Linked DNA regions of Mus musculus. The protein of the gene in region 1 interacts with the protein of each later gene in a biochemical or structural test. Links are inferred from orthologs where the notes say so. Each region holds a gene or a part of one and is shown in the gene's direction. Other genes may lie near its edges.

Region 1 (8,260 bases):
TAAGCATTGGCTTTCCAGTGTATGACCTGCCTGATTTCTGTGGAAGATTGTCACACATCCTGTCCCTGTATCCACAGACTGACAGAAAGTATATCGGGTGTGAATCACCTCCCTGTGAGTTCAGCTCTACTCTTCCCTCCTCTTCTTCCCTGCCCTCTCCCCTTTCCTTCTGTGCTGGTTAATCTTGGCTGTCAACCTGACTGGACAATCAATTAAATGCAAAATGCAGAGTGAGCGATTTTCTTAGCCAGATTATTCGAAACAGGAAGACCCACCCTAAATGCAGGCTCCACCTTCTGGTGGCGGCTCAGATAAAAGGCGACAAAAGGATAATAGATTTTTCCCTGTTTGCCCTCATTCTTGCTGGCAACCACTCTATCTTGTTCCTTCACCAAGATTAGAACCAACCTTTTGGGCTTCCAAGACACACCGGAGATTAGCAGCTCTCCAGGAATCCTCCAGACCCCCAGCACCAGATTGGTACTGCAGAGACATCCAGACTCATGGACTGAGCAACCACCAGATTCTTGGACTCTCCAGGGTGGGACAGCCATCATTGGACTTCATGGACCATATCCTATATACCAACCTGACAATACACACACACAGACACACGCGCACACACTTTTTTTTTTTCCAAGACAGGGTTTCTCTGTGTAGCCCTGGCTGTCCTGGAACTCACTCTGTAGACCAGGCTGGCATCAAACTCAGAAATCCACCTGCCTCTGCCTCCCAAGTGCTGGGATTAAAGGCGTGTGGCATCATGCCCAACGAGTCCCCTTTTAATATATATCAACTCTACCAGATTTATTCCTTTAGGGAACCCTGACTACTCCCCCTTCCCTTCCCTCTCCTTTCTTCTCTTCTTTTCCCCTCTCTTTGTGTCTCTTCTCCCCACCTTGGTGAATAGATAGAGGAAACTCTCCTGGGGTGTACTTTGTTGAGTCATGTTTAGAAGGATATGTAAGAGTTCATTGGGTAAATGACAAGAAGTCCTTCTACACCGTGAGTGATGCACAAAACCAAAGCATTCACCAACGACAGCAGGTAAGCTAGAGTTGGTGATGAATTGTGATGGACATTTGTGGCTTGTGGGTGTCTACATCTTTGAGGGAGAAGATGATTCAATCAGTGACTCGTGGAGCAGCCCGTAGGACCTACTGGAAGAGAGACAACTTGATGTCCCTGTCTTGAACCCTCAGTGACTTTCAAATGAAAGGCTCCTACCCACAGGGATACTGGAGGGTGTGCTTTTGGGATGGCTTAGTACCAACCTCCAAATCATCTTGCAGGAAGAAGAACTGTCTGGCAAGGAGTTACTGGGAAGCGATGCTTTCCCATGATGGTAGCAGGTAACCATGGCCTCACTTACAACATGACATCCAAAAGCCATTGGCATGGGAACACAGCACTGAATGCATCAGGAGCCCGAGACCAGCCTGCACATCTCTGACTTCATTAACAAGGTCACCATTTGGAAAAATATAAAGGTAGTCTTCCAGTTCTAGCGTGCAGGATGGTGCTCAGGTGTCCAGCTAGTCTCTGTACAACTCTTTGTAGGAGTCAGGACTTAGCTACTATTTTCCAGAAGTCTCTTTGATCAGTAGTGTTTTCTAACACTCCTGAGCTGGGGTTGGGATATGATCAATGAAAAGTGGTTCGCTGTGTACTTATTCTAGTGTGCATGAGACCCTGAGTTCCATGATCTGACACAAGAAGGGTTGATTTATGGTTTGGTCTCTAGCTAAAAAGATGAATTGCATTAATGCCACTCTTCTTTTGGGGTGAGATAAAGCAGTAATAATAATTAATAATAATAATAAGTGGGAAGACAATGTCTATAAAGTGTTGACAAGCAAGCATAAATGTAGGCATGGTGGGGCTTGTGTGTAAAATCAGTGCTGAGCAGGTAAAGACAGCAGATACCTGGCCAGGTTAGCCCAATAGGTGAGCTCCAGGTCCCTGTGAGAGACTCTGTCTCAAAAAACAAGGAGTACAGCTCCTGGGAAATAATTTCACAAACACACACACACACACACAAGGGGAGGGGGGGCGGATGGACAGGAAAGTAGACCAATATGCAGACAGAGCAGGACTGCTTGAGGGGACCTCTGCAAAGCACAGTCCCTCGAAGCTTTCTGGGCCGCAACCCATCTCTAGTTTCTGCAGAGGGCGTGGGGCTGGTCTTCTGTGGACCACTGCAAAGGCGGAGAAGAGAACTTCCCAGATGTGGCTGATCCAGCTGCAGAGACACTGTGGAAGCCGCGACAGTGAGCGTTGAGTGTTTTGAGAAGCAATATGGGATTCAAAACCATTTTAGATAAGGAATGGATTGACTTTAGTCATCAGAAACCTAAGACTGACCAACGCCGTCAGAAATCCAAGACTGACCTGCAGGTGCCAAGCCAAGAAGTCATGGTTGAAAGGACAAGCAAGATCTGAGATCACAAGAACTGAGAAGGGGCTGGAGGACACCTCAGTGGGTAAACTGCTTGCCGCAAAGCCTGAGGACCTGAGTTCGGATGCCAGAGACCACGTAACGGTTGGGTGTGTGGAAAGCTGTCTTCAATCCCGTTTTTGGGAGGTGGAGACAAAAAGACATAAAGGAAAACCCTGTTTCAAAAAAAAAAAAAGAAAGAAAGAAAGGAAGGAAGGAAGGAAGGAAGGAAGGAAGAAAGAAAGAAAGAAAGAAAGAAAGAAAGAAAGAAAGAAAGAAAGAAAGAAAGAAAGAAAGAAAGAAAGAAAGAAAGAAAGAAAGAAAGAAAGAAAGAAAGAAAGGTGGAGTACAATTGACGAAGACTCCTCACGCCCTCAGGGGCGAGCGGGGAAGAGTCAGAATTATCTGCAAAGGAAGTTAAGATCCGCCGCAGGGTCTGTGCGAGGAGGAGCGAGCCGTGGTTCACAGCAGCTCCTAGGAGCGACAGCTCACCTGCTGTCTGGGTTTTTGCAGATTCGAGACCTTGCTCTGCAGAGCGGCTGCAGGGAGCGGCAGCAGCCTGGTCGCAGCTGTCACCCACGGGTGACCGGACGACGTCCGCGCGGGCGGCAGAGGCCGAGCCTGGGACTACACTTCCCAGTGTGCCAGGCGGGCGGGGCGCGGCGGGGAGGGCGCAGGCTCCTTCCCAGCAAGCGAAGGCGGAAACAAAAGAGTCCGGCGCCGCCGCCCGCACACTCGCGCACCGCGCCCGGGCGCACACGGAGCAGCCCTGCGAGGCGGCAGCCCGGGACACGCGGACACTCCGCAGCCCCCGCCGCCTGCCCCATGGCGCTGAAGCGGATCCAGAAAGTGAGTGGCTGCCAGAACCGGCCTGGGTGTCCCCAAGATGTCCCCAGGAACCCGGGGCGCACGGTGTGGGAGGGGCGCGGACACTGGGGAGGCCGGGGTACGGATCGGCCCGCACAGGTGAGGCGTGCATCCGCAAGGTCTGGGTACTTGGAACCTCGGGGCGACCCGATCCGGTCGTGCCCTTTCCAGGATGAGCCTAGAACCTCGGGTGCGGGTGCCCGTGGGGTGGCCAGATTGTCCCGGGGTGTGTGCATCCCCGCTGGGCCGGGGCTTGCTCTGCAACGGGCGGCCTTCGTCCCCTATCCCGCTGTGCGTCCTCACAATGTCCCCGGAGCCCTCCTTGCTGTGTTCGCACCCCGGGTTCCCCGAGAGGGCAGGGAAGGTGTGGTGGGCCTACGGCCTTTATTCTCAGAGCGTGGGGCTGGGTCTTTCTGGGCTCTGCAGTCGGCTGGTGCTCAGTGGGAGGAAAGGGCTGGGAACGCGAGATTGGGGCCGAGGAGCCAGCAGAGAGCTCTTGCCCCTGCTATTTTGGTGGTTCTGCACGCAGCTGCCACTTCAGGTCACATAGCTGTACTGAGAACATAGTTGCTGATACACAGCAAGATGAGCTCCTGGCTGTGATTCATGGCTAGGTAAGCTAAGCAGGTTGTTGGTTTTGTTTTGTATTTTTTTCTTCACACCCTCACGATAAACTTAGATGTAGAGTTGAAGACACAACACTAAGGACCACAAATTAAATTGTTTGGATGCTTTGATGTGTGAATAGAGAATGAGGAAGACAATCGAAGGGACAGTCAGTCCTTACATAGGATCGGTTCCAACCCTCTCTTTGTATTCTTTACCGCACCCACTTCTCTTGTTGGCCTGTCCCCTATCTCAAGTATCTTTTAACATTTTACAGCGGTAGTCCTTGCTGCTGGGAACGTGGTGTTTGGGATCGCTTTAGAAGCAAATGCGCCAACAGTGGATAATGTGTTTGGTAATTGATTTCACAAGAAATGGTTGGCTCCCCAAACGTTTTATCAACCTTTCCAGCTACACTTGACTGAAAATGTTCTGAGTTAGAGTGGTAGGAAACAGGCATCTTTCGGTACTGAGGACAGCAACTTTTACCCGCAGCCAAATTTTCGTTTGTTTTTTGTTTATTTGTTTTTGTTTTTGTTTTGTTTTTGTTTTTTTTTTTTTTTTTTAATAAACCTTAGCTGTGTAGATCATCGCTGTTCTTTGTGCCGCTGAAGGTCAACTCGGTATAAAATGTTAAGATCAGCGTTTATTAAATAATGACGTTTTCTCGTTTGAAGATAACACGGTGGCACTTTATTTTTAACCATATAAACAAGCTTAATTTTGAAGCTGCAATCGTCATTACCGTGCCGATTTCTGAACGCCGACCAATCTACTGTTGGTTCCCATTTGGAAGTTTTCAAACTTTGCTTCCTTTCATGATGGTGAAGCATTTCCATGTGGCTTTGCACTCCTCTTCTCTCTCTCTGTCTCTCTCTGTCTCTGTCTGTCTGTCTGTCTCTCTCTCTTTCTCTCTCTCTCTCACACACACACAGTAGCTCTTAGATACCAAAGGAGTTATCTATAGTATATATCCATCCAGAGAAATAAGACATTATTTTATGTGTAGGCTTGATGCATCTTGTTGCTCATGCTAAGCCTGTGTATTTGACTTATGTTAATATGGCAAATTTCCACATCTTCTTTCTCTCTTCCTTCCTTCCTTTCTTTTGTTTAGTAGATACTGTGTGTTAAACAGAGTTGTCTAGTATGAAGATAACCTTAAATACAGCTGATGGGGAATCTGTGACAAACTGGTATTTTGGAGAAGACACCAGAGGTCACATGATCCTATAGTCCTGTCATTGACTGCCACAAATCACATCAGTCATACAAGCCAGCCACCCCTTCCCCCCCACCCCCCACCAGCTGATTCTCCCGTTTTCTTCCTTCCTTGCCTGTCATCTTGCTTAGAACCAAGTCTAGGGTGGACAGGCTGCACCGGGGGCAGCTACAGTGCCCTCTGACATCCTGTGTTCAGATTCTCATTTGAATCACGTTCAAATGTTGAGTTCAATGCTCACCTTTGGCCTTAAAAAAAAAAAAGATTTATTTTTAGTGTGCGTATCTGTGAGTACGTGCCACATGTGTGAGGGTGGCCACAGAGGCTAGAAGAAGGAAGAGAGGACAATCAGGTATCCTGATGCCAGAGCCATTGGCGGATGTGATGTGAGCTGTCTAGTGTGAGTGCTGGGAATTGAACTTGGGTCCTCTGGAGGAGTAATAAATGTTCTTCACTGCTGAGCCATTTCTCAAGCCCCTACCCCCCTCCTCCTCTTCTTCCTCCTCCATCTTCTTCTTTTGAGTATCTTTTAAAGCAATCAGAAAACTTCAGGCCATTGGGCAGTGCTATTTCTTTACCTAAAGTATCAGGCCTCAAAGCTCATAGAACTCCAGGTTTGCAGTGGTGTAGCCAAGAGTGCAGGCAAAGAGACAGTCCCTAGGGCAGGGAGCAGAGTCACAGCAGAGCCCAGGGCTGCCAGTGGAAAGATGCTGAACCTCCAGGTTGAGGTGGGGTTAACATGGAAAGGTCAAAAGCCCTGATGTTCTCCTCTGTTCTCTTTATTCAAAGAGGGAACCTGAGGCGGGAGTTGGGACGAGTTTTTCCCAGGCTTAATCTCTTGAGAAGTGATTTGGCACATTTGAGAATAATGGTCACAGCTTCTCATTTCTCCACCTATGAAAAGAACAAAGATGATGTTGGATTAAAACTGTCTTTCTACAAAGCGTGTGGACATAGGCGCTTCAAATAGATCCCCATGCTGGAGTAGACTAAAGGATTTAATGCTCTAATTTAGACACCCTGTGCCAGTTCTGCATTTCAGCTCATAAATTTACACACCCGTGGCCTATTTTTAGACATAGAGAAAGATGTTATTACAGCCGCCTAAATCACTGAAGGGATAAAGTTTGAGCAAAATCGGAGGGGAGAAGCCTGCGGTAGATTTGACAAAAGAGAGCAGCTTTCAGTTGGGTGTCTATTGTTAGTTGTTTTTTAGGTGTTTCTTTGGTGAACACTGTTTTTCAGTCCTCAGTACATTTTGCTTTGAAAAAAAAAATCACCTTTTTTAAACGATAAATGTTACAATACAATACCGAACACTTTGAGACCCGAGGGAGAAAGAACCCTAATACAGCTGCCATCAACATCGTAGTCTCTGTCTCCTTTTGTGTTTATTTTCCAGAAGGAATTTTAGGTAATAATCTGCTACGTGCTATGTACTAGACCTCGGCCTTTTTTTTTCTTTTGGTCTATCTTCTGAAGAGTGAGACAAAAGGCTTTTCTTTTACAAATATCGTGACACATAATTATCCTTCCCTGTATAGTGTTCTGTCCCAAAATGAAACATTTGAGCCTGGGAGTGTGGCTCAGTGCTAAGACACACACCTACTGCTTTCAAGGCTCCGAGTTCAGCTGCCTGTGCCCACAAGAATAAATAAGTTGCCCTTGTATCCAAAAATCGAACATTTGGCTTTTTAATAATTAACCTAAATTGTGTGCACGAAGGTAAATTAAAATGCAGGTTTTGTCACTGTTTTGAGCTGCTCTGATTTTGACTCGTAGGCTTTCTGAATCACAGCGTCTGTGTTGCTCTAGGAAGCACCGTATCTTCCGCAGCCAGGCCCTCTGTGCCTGCGCCATCAAGGTCAAGAGAGGACCCAGGTTTTGTTCCCGGCTCTGTGACTGACTTCAGTTTTTCTTACCCATCCATGTCCCAAAGGATGACAACCACCGCTGTGTGCGGAGGTCGCTCTGCCTAACACCATGCCAAAAGCTTACCTTTCATGAGCTGTCTGACCCTTCATGAGGCAGTAGAGCTAGAAACAATCTGATTCCCGTTCTGCAGATGATGAAACAAAGGCAGGAGATGTTAACTGGAGTTCACAGGATCACATATCTGGCATAGGGAAATGGCTAGGATTCCAAACGGGACAGTATGCCATAAGCACAGACCTCTCCCTCCATCATATGGACCGTTATGTTGTTGGGTGTTTGTTTGTTTGTTTGTTTTTAACTGAAAGACATGAAGTCAATTGGCAAAGTGCTCACCTGGTATGCACACATCCCTAGCATGGTGGCTCCCTCCTGTTATCCCAGTGTTCTGGAGACAGGGTTGGGAAGTTCAAGGTCACCCTCAGTTTCATACAGAGCTGGAGGTCAGCCTGGACCAGAAGAGACCCTATCTCAAAGACAAACACATAAGAAAGATTTAAGTCAGATGAATTGATGGAGACGAGTGCTCAGCGAGATGATGTTCAACCCTGTAATTAGAACTCTGCATGTTTAATTGCCACCACAGCTCAGCGCTGAGTGACGACGCTCAGTCACCCTGCTCCTCAGAGATGACCCTTGTCACTAAACACTGGAGAATAACAGCTTCATTCATCTTCCCCATACCCCTGGAAACGTTGACTCCTTCCAGAGGGATTTAGAAAAACAACTGCTTAGAGTTCTTTAGATAGTCTGATGGTAGCCTTATTGTGGAATTTTCATTTGCCATAATTGTGAATTGGTCTGATCGTTTAAGTGCCTGTCGTGGCTTTGAGTACTAATTCACATTAGAAGATCAAATGAAAGATTACAGAAGGAGAGAGCCCCGAAGAAAACACACGGAGCCCAGCATCTTTATTGTCTGTAGATGATCAGTTTGCCTCAAGAGGAGAAGAAGCAGTATTCTTTCTGGAGGAAGAATCCGTGGTGGGAATTTTCCTGTCCTTAAGCCCCTATAATTAAACTCTATCTTTTGCCACTGTCTGTACTTTTTTTTTTCCTTTATGATAACAAAGGTAGCTTAAATGTTCTGAAACTCCTTCTCTGAGGAGATATAAGTAGCATAGACTTAGATGAGACTATTGACGTCTGTTCTCGGGAGCCAGACATGTAAAGACCAAGGGATGGATGTAGATTGC
Region 2 (8,321 bases), on another chromosome or scaffold:
TCAGCTGTTGAGTTACGACTTTACACAGCATTTTCATAAAACCAGTAGGTGACTTTCTTTAATTATTTTGTTAAAACTCCAGTTTGTTTTCCAGAGATATAAGCTTCTTTGTGCAGCTACCTCCCCCTATGATCCTTAAGACTATCCAGATTTGGGGTTGGTATTTCAATCCAATTTATTAAGTCCTCAGGGAGGAGGAAGGCCACATCTTCCACCATAGACCCTTTGTCATCTTGACAGCTTCTGCTTTCTCCTGTCTCCTCAGCTCTGCCTTGGATTCCCCAGAGAGAGGGATCTGCTGTCTGGTGTGCCCTGAATCTAACACCCAAGAGGAGACTAGAAATCCTTGGTGTGTGTCTTAGGTCTCCTCAGGAAGAGCCAGGGGCAAAGTGATTCTAAGCATCAGGCAAGCACAGCAGGCAGGCTGGAGTAGGGGGAGAACAGACTAAGTTCTTTACCGCAAAGGAGAAAACCACACTGGAGAGGGAAAATAAATAGAATAGCCCAGGGTAGCAGAATCCAGGTCCTCCAGGGCATAGCGACTGTAATAGCAGTGGATGGCTTGGAAGCCTGGCACACTAGTCCTGGGACCATGCCAGATCAGCCACTGAGGAAGAGACGCTTGTAGGCCTTGTTCATCTGTTCCAAGAAGATGAAGGTGAGGACAGTGTGGGGGCCCAGTCGGGCATAGTATGGTGTGAAGCCCTTCCACAGGCTGAAGAAACCCTCATAGCGGACGACTTTCAGCAGCACATCCTAGACAGACAGGCAGGCAAGTGCTGGGGCTAGGCCCTGGTCCTGGTCCAGGCTCTGTCCCCTGTCCCTAGCTCCCTTCGCATCCCTCCCAGGGCACCCCTTCCCCCCCCTCCTCACCAGCCCATTCTTGTATTCTGGCTTCCCATCAATCATCCGCATATTCTGGATCCTGAAAGAGAGTCAGTATGAACATGAAAACCAGAAAGGGGGGCCTCCCCAAGTTCTCCAGTCCCAGGCTGCAGACTCACCTAGTTTTGACGATGTCCACAGGCATGGAAGCAGCAGTGGTAACGAGGCCACTGATCATGCTGGCGCAGAAGTGGCAGAGAATATTGTCAGAGAAGTAGCCTGGGAGGTGAAGCAAAAGGTGGTAGTCAACTCTCAGGTAGCTCAGGCCAGGCTCAAGTTCTCAGCTCTGGGTCTCTCACCTGAGTCCAGCAAGAACTGCTTAGATTGAGAGTAAGAGGCAAGCTGGGCGGCATTGACAACGACAGCTCGAGCCATGGTAGGGATGCAGCCCTGGAGGTGGAGGGTGGAGGCAATGGAGACAGTCAAAAGTGCCAGAGATCTAACCCAGCATGGCCCAAGACTCCAACCCTCGCACTCACCCGCCACAGTGTGGGGACTCCTTCTTCCCTGGCAATCCTAACTAGGGCATTAAACACATTTTTGTAGCCACGGCGCTGGTCAGCTGGAAGCCTGGGGGAAAGGCAGGGAAAGGCCAAGATCAGGACAGACCAGGGTCCATGGAACAAAGAAAGGGAAGCCTGAATAGGTAAGTGCCCTGATGTAGATATAGACTAACAACACCATCCTAGAGTCCAGGAATGGGGCTGGAGTTAAGCTCAGAAACGGAACTCACCGACCATCAGCAGTCATCCTGATGAGAGCCACCTCAGCTGGCGTTCCCACAAATGCACCAGTTGCACCTGCAGTCATGCCAATCAGGGCTTTCAGAAGAAAGCCAGGGGGTGTACCATCAGCCCCAGTCAGGCGCTCAAACAACACAGTATATATTCCAAGGCGAGTAGTGGTGTAGGTGGCCTGGCGCAGTAGACCAGCTGACAGCCTGAAGAGTAGAAATGTCAGCACATCAGGCCAAGGTCTGGACCTGCCAACCAACAACTTCCCTCCCCAACTTGAGGCCACAGTACCCAGTGTAAATGCCCTTCAGGCCTTCTGTCTTCAGGATGCTGGTGAGGGCATGGAAACTGGTTTTGTACTCTCGAGTCTTGGCCCCTTCACCACTCAACTGCATCCGGTTCTTCACCAGGTCCAGGGGCTGCACAAAGACTGTAGCACCCATCCTGAAGTGAGGCAGGAAAGGGAATCAGAGGTCAGTGGTTCCAGCTCTACTGCAACCTGGCAAGAAGTTACAAAGGTCAGGGCCACTAAGGATTCAGGAGGCTGGTGGGCATGTGTGTTAAGTGTGTGCATCAAGGGCAACGTGCCAGCAAAAGAGTCCAGTTGCCCAGTAAGGGGCATGCAAATCAAAAAGCCTCAGGCAGTTCTTTAGGGTTCAAGCAGAATTAGGACTACAGGCGATCTAAAGAAAGGTGGAGAGGGCGTCCCCATCCTAAGACTCCAAGCAGTCCTATAACAAAGCCTTTAATGACCTATACCCACCACCCAAACAGGCACAACGAAGCAAAGGTGGTGGAAACACAGGGTAAAGATCCTTGAATGCAGCACAGTTGGGTCCCTGCAAAGGATGAATAGATCCTGGCAACCCATCAGGGACCCTGCACCGGCTCAATTTACTGCAACACACCCCAAGTTACACTGGGCCCAGGTGCTTGCTCCCGTCCCTTCCTCCTTTTCCCCCATCACTGGGGCCTGAGCTTACCCAGCCAGGCCCCCAAACAGGAACTTGACAGACTTAGGGGAGGTACGGGGTTTCCCGTCCATCCGGCCAGCCCCAGGACTCGCCGTCGCCGCCATCGCCCCTTGATGGCCCTCGGCTTTGGGTCCCGTGCACGTACAGCCCCGCTCGCGCCCAAGGTGACACCAGCGCGCAACAGGGTGAGGGCGCGCGCGCGCACGCCCCTCCGACAGGCAAATCTGGCTCCAGCTGGAAGCTGGGGCGGGCGCAGGCTCGGAGCGCAAAGGCAGCCGGGGAATAAGGCGGGGCTAAGATGCACGATGAAGGGGCGTGGCCGATTTAGGAAGCTACCCTAAATTCCCGCCCCTCCGGAATTGGAATCGCGGGGAAAAAAAAAAAAAAAAAGCTTGTTTGAAAACCTCGCGAGAGCAAGTGAATCAGCCGAGTTCGGGCTATGAGGCCTCTCGCGATATATTTCAGCGGCGAAAGGGGGTGGGGGGGTGGAGGGAGGGTGGTGGCAAGCACTCTCGCGATACTTTGAACGTACCGTGGCGGCCAGACGAAGGAGAGGTTTGTAAACAGGGCAGCTCCAGGATCTCAGGGACTGAGGGAAAAAAACTAGATCGTCTCCTGAGCATCGAAGCTCCCTCCATCTCCGCAGGCTCCTTCTACATGTCAAACATTTCTTTCAACCGGCCTCTCGGGACCGGAAGTCCTCCGTCCTGAGCGTCCAATACTGGAATTGGCCTTTCTTACCGGAAACCCTTTTCCAGGGGCATAGGAAGACAGTCTACCTGGCCGGAAGTCCCACCTCTTTGAGGTTTCTCCTACCCTTCCGGAAGTTTTTTTGTTGTTGTTGTTACCTGTTTGCCTTCGCTCCTATTCTGTCCTATTTCTGTACTAGAGAAAGATACATTGTCTCCCCTACCAGCTCCGCTAAGCTGGTTTGATAGCTCACTCCCTGAATCGGAGTTCCTTCCCCGACGCCCCCATGTAGCTGAGAAGTGGGACCTAGGGGTGGTTGGACCCCTGGGATCCTGAAGGAGAGGCAGAGGAGGGCGCAGGACTCGGCTTCTGCTCCTGCGATCAGAACGCGACCTTCGCAGCTTTACCCCTCCCGCTGCCATGCACCCTGCGGCCTTCCCGCTTCCTGTTGTCGTGGCTACTGTACTGTGGGGAGCAGCCCCTGTCCGAGGGCTGATTCGAGCGGTGAGTCTGAGGGTCGGACGGGGACAGGGTGCTGAGAATGGGGTTCAGACTGAAACACGTAGTGTTCCGTCTGCAGACTTCGGAGCACAATGCCAGCATGGACTTTGCAGACCTTCCAGCTCTGTTTGGGGCCACTCTGAGCGACGAGGGACTGCAGGTGATGTTTTCCCCATTTCCCTATATGGATCCTGGGTAGGGGCGAAGTGGCCGTGCTCAGGAGGTAGGAAGTAGTGGAGTTAGCAGCGGAATGCAGTGGACTGCGGATAGTTCAATGATAGGGTGCTTTTTCTAGTATGAGTGAGATTCTAGGTTGAATCTCCAGCAAAAAAAAAAAAGTGTCCCCAATCCAGAAAAACCTAAGTGCATGATCATGTCCAGCGCGCAGAGTCCAGAATCCAGAGATAATAGATAGTGCCCACCTCTAGAACTTAACATTTTTTATTTTATATGCATAGGTGTGAGAGTGTCAGATCCCCTGGAACTGGAGTTACAGTCAGTTGTGAGCTGCTACATGGATGCTAGGAACTGAACTCCGGTTCTCTGGAAGAACAGCCAGTGCGCTTAAGCACTGAACCATCTACAACCCCTAGAACTCCCAAGTTTAAGAGGGAGTCTGAGAGTGGGCTAAGATAAAAAGCAGGTGCTTATCAGCAGTCTCTGGAGCAACTTACTGTTTGTATAGATGGCCATGGACAGCTTTTTATGGGTTCTGAGTCAAATGAGAAATAGAAATTAACCTAGGGCTATCGTGCCAGTGTGATAAGCATGTCTGTAGTAGTTCACTACAAAGTTCATGCCACATAGCAAGAATTCATTCGGCCACAGTTAGCAGTAGAGTTGTAAGATGGCTAATTGGAAAATGAAACTTGTTGAAAATGCCATGAATGAGTAGCAAGGTGAACCACTATCGGTGGGAAACTTAAAAGCAGAACTAAACTACGCTTGAGAAGTTAAGGGAGCCTCTGGTAAGGGATGTAGTTTACTGTAACTGCATCTTCAAGAAAGCTGAGAGATCCCTTTTCTTTTTTCTTTTTTTTGAGACTGGACTCTGGAACTCTGGCTGTCCCCAACTCACAGTAGTCTCAAGTGCTGGGATTAAATGCATGTATCACCATGTCTGAGTTGTAGATTCAGTGTTGGGTGGGATGCTCAGACCTCCAGAATGAGCAATGATAGAGCTGCAGAATGCAGGTAGTATATAGTGTTATGTGTGGTAGGTCCTGTGGAAGACAGAACTAAAGATGAAAATGTTTGCCTTTATCCCTCAGGGGTTCCTTGTGGAGGCCCACCCAGAAAATGCCTGCGGTCCTATTGCCCCACCACCCTCAGCCCCGGTCAATGGGTCAGTCTTTATTGCACTGCTTCGAAGATTCGACTGCAACTTTGACCTCAAGGTTGCTGAATGGGGAATGGGAGGTGGTAAGCAGGGTACATGACACCAGGAATGAAGGGCAAGGGTTACAGCTCTATCCCTCCCGCTTGGCCTCCTTAGGTCCTAAATGCTCAGAAGGCTGGGTATGGTGCAGCTGTGGTGCACAATGTGAATTCCAATGAACTGCTGAACATGGTGTGGAACAGCGGTAAGGAAGAAGCCTGCACTACTGGGTGCACCGTGGAGTTGAGTGGGAGGGCAATTGGTTGAGATCTGCAAAAAGTGCCAAAAGCCAGTTTCAGGGAATTGAGGAACAGAAGGCTAAATCCCTAATATCCTGCTCCTTACAGAGGAAATCCAACAGCAGATCTGGATCCCATCTGTATTTATTGGAGAGAGAAGCGCAGAGTACCTACGAGCCCTTTTTGTCTACGAGAAGGGGTAGGACGCATGCTTTCTTCCAGTTCTTCTCAATCCACTCAGGCTCAGGCTCTTCCTCGGCTGCCTTGACTTTCTCCTCATTATGCCTTGTCCCAAGCCAGTAACCCTATTTTACCTGGCTTGAGGTTGTGTCTCTCTCTCCTCAGGGCTCGGGTGCTTCTGGTTCCAGACAACAGCTTCCCCTTGGGCTATTACCTCATTCCTTTCACTGGGATTGTAGGATTACTGGTTTTGGCCATGGGAACAGTATTGGTAAGTAGCTGAGGAGAACTTACGATGCCAGACTGGATCGGTAGAGGGGAGGGTTTATTGCATTTTCCAATCATTTTTTAAGCCTGGTCCACTCTTCCTTATCCCTAGATAGTTCGTTGCATCCAGCACCGGAAACGGCTTCAGCGGAACCGACTTACCAAAGAGCAACTGAAACAGATTCCTACCCATGACTATCAGAAAGGTAAGGGCAGGAGAAGGGGCCTTTCTCCTAGCTGGCCTCATCTTGAAGGATTTTTGAACCCAGTGAGTAGATAAAGGGTTCAAAAAAGAACCGGAAAGGTGCCACCTTTGCTTGGTTAAAAAAAAAAAAAAAAAAAAAAAAAAAAAAAAAAGATGACCAACCAACCACAAGCAAAGGAGGTAGGGTAGAGCAGGCGCTGGAAAGCAGAGATGAACAAAGGAAACTTGACTTTGTGTGTGGGGTGTAAGAGGTGTAAGAGCCAGAAGAACTCAAAGCAAGCAGGTGAGGGGTTGGGTTATCTAGACTTGGAGCCTCCAGTACCATATAAGGCTATAGCAAACGCCTCGCCCCTCCCAGTTCTGCTTTCCCCTCCTACCCCCCCCCAACTCACTTCCCTTATCTCTGCTTGTCCCCTCTAGCCCCAAGATTTTATGTGGTGCCCTAAGTTTGCACTGGCTTGGTAGAAAACGGGGCAATAAGACTTGTACAGTGAGTTTTCTTGGGCGTGACTGCCAATAGTTGAGTGAATCCTTTCCTTTCCCAGGAGATGAATATGACGTCTGTGCCATCTGTCTGGATGAATATGAGGATGGGGACAAGCTTCGAGTACTTCCCTGTGCTCATGGTAAGGCCCACATGTGCCTGTGTCTGTGTTCCTGCCCAACCTGCAGAGACCAGCCTTTCATATAAACCACTCCACAGCTTATCACAGTCGCTGTGTGGACCCCTGGCTCACTCAGACCCGCAAGACCTGCCCCATCTGCAAACAGCCTGTACATCGGGGTCCTGGCGATGAGGAGCAGGAAGAAGAAACTCAAGAGCAAGAGGAAGGCGATGAAGGGGAGCCAAGGGACCAACCTGCTTCAGAATGGACCCCACTCCTGGGCTCTAGCCCTACTCTTCCCACCTCCTTTGGATCCCTAGCCCCTGCTCCCCTGGTCTTCCCTGGGCCCTCCACAGATCCCTCACCTCCTTCATCTGCTGCCCTGGCCTGACACCCCCATACTTGGTACCTCTGGTGACCGTCCTATTTGCACAAACTCTTTTTCCAGTCTAATAAGCTGAGGGTGAGGGATAGGGGACATTCTACCCCAGGTTCATGAACCCAGCCTCATCCTTTTGAGGGGGCTAGAAGCCATAGGGACATGGTTTTCATTTCTTGGATTAATAAAATTGGTTTTTTTTTGTGGATGAAAAAAAAAGGTTAAGATCATCTTTACACAGGTGAAATTCTGGAAAAATAATCACCTCATAGGATGAACTTGTCGGGGAGAGCCCTAGCTGCATTTGCTATGACTCAGGGAGGGGAGCCCCACCTACACAGGATGACTCAAGTGGCCCTGCCTCACCCGCAGGCTTGGACCCATTCTCTGGTCTGGATGGCTATGTTCCATTACATACTAATTCAACTGGACCTGAAAATGGAAATACCACTATAGAGGGGCCTAGGTCACATGACTAAGTACACAGAAGAATGCCTACTTAGTTTAGTCCTTGGGGCTTAGAAAAGGAAATAAGACTGGAAATAAGAGTTCATTCTGGACACAGCCAAGAAGCAGGTACCTAATTGAGGTGGGTCACTGTGCTTGTCTCCCAACTAATGCCAAGTGCAAACCAACACAGGTCCTTGTTAGTAGAATCTTTTTTTATTCAGAAAAAAAAAAAAAAAAAAAAGACCAAAAAACAAAAAATGAAACCCAAAAACAAAAATTTTCCAAACACACACAGGAGGGGGTATGGGTAGGGGGAGGTGTCTGTCCATCCAGCCCCAGCCCCCAGCCCATGTGGTTTTGGCAGCAATAAGGGAAATGGGGTAATGGCCCAAAAAATAATGGTATGTGTGTGTATGGAAAGAAGGGGGTGCAAAAGCCAAAGGGAACGGTGGGGGGAAGGGACAGATGAGGTCAGTACTGGGAACGCCGCAGGTGAGAGGCCATTTCATAACATTTCTTGTTGATCAAACCACCGTGGACACCTTCTTTGCCCATCAGCAGGACTAGCGCTGGAGGAAAGAAAAAGGAAGCTAGGACCCAGGTGTCACAATTCAACCCTGCCAGCTGTTCAGCAGCTGTCTGGCCCCGGGGGTTGTAACCTAACCTCAGCCCTCCTAACCAGCCCTCCCCCCCTTATACACAGGCAGGCTGTCAGTCATCCTAAAACAATAGAGCTTTTCAAAGAAGGAAAAAAAAAAAAGAGCTTTAAGAGTAGTAAAGAAAAAGGCAAAATTTAGAGGTCCTAAACTTCCAGGCTGTAGGTGGCTAGGAACG

Evidence for each region. The genes of interacting proteins can lie anywhere in the genome.
Region 2: the proteins of Ube2d1 (region 1) and Rnf167 form a complex in vitro, tested with the Homo sapiens proteins (3 studies listed by BioGRID). The link is inferred for Mus musculus from reciprocal best matches to the Homo sapiens genes UBE2D1 and RNF167.

Annotation. Positions count from the first base shown.
Region 1 is NC_000076.6:71,280,127-71,288,386, reverse strand, and holds the start of Ube2d1 (ubiquitin-conjugating enzyme E2 D1), read left to right. Parts: upstream 1-3,124; 5' UTR 3,125-3,262; coding exon 3,263-3,286; intron 3,287-8,260.
Region 2 is NC_000077.6:70,644,166-70,652,486, forward strand, and holds Rnf167 (E3 ubiquitin-protein ligase RNF167 isoform 1 precursor), read left to right. Parts: upstream 1-3,069; 5' UTR 3,070-3,703; coding exon 3,704-3,787; intron 3,788-3,849; exon of another isoform or gene 3,850-3,863; coding exon 3,864-3,944; intron 3,945-4,242; exon of another isoform or gene 4,243-4,427; intron 4,428-5,055; coding exon 5,056-5,181; intron 5,182-5,279; coding exon 5,280-5,367; intron 5,368-5,509; coding exon 5,510-5,600; intron 5,601-5,746; coding exon 5,747-5,852; intron 5,853-5,960; coding exon 5,961-6,054; intron 6,055-6,598; coding exon 6,599-6,679; intron 6,680-6,756; coding exon 6,757-7,049; 3' UTR 7,050-7,256; downstream 7,257-8,321. Other genes in the region: Slc25a11 (mitochondrial 2-oxoglutarate/malate carrier protein), read right to left, coding at 601-756, 874-925, 1,005-1,104, 1,185-1,275, 1,365-1,455, 1,619-1,825, 1,911-2,063, 2,603-2,697; Pfn1 (profilin-1), read right to left, coding at 7,959-8,056.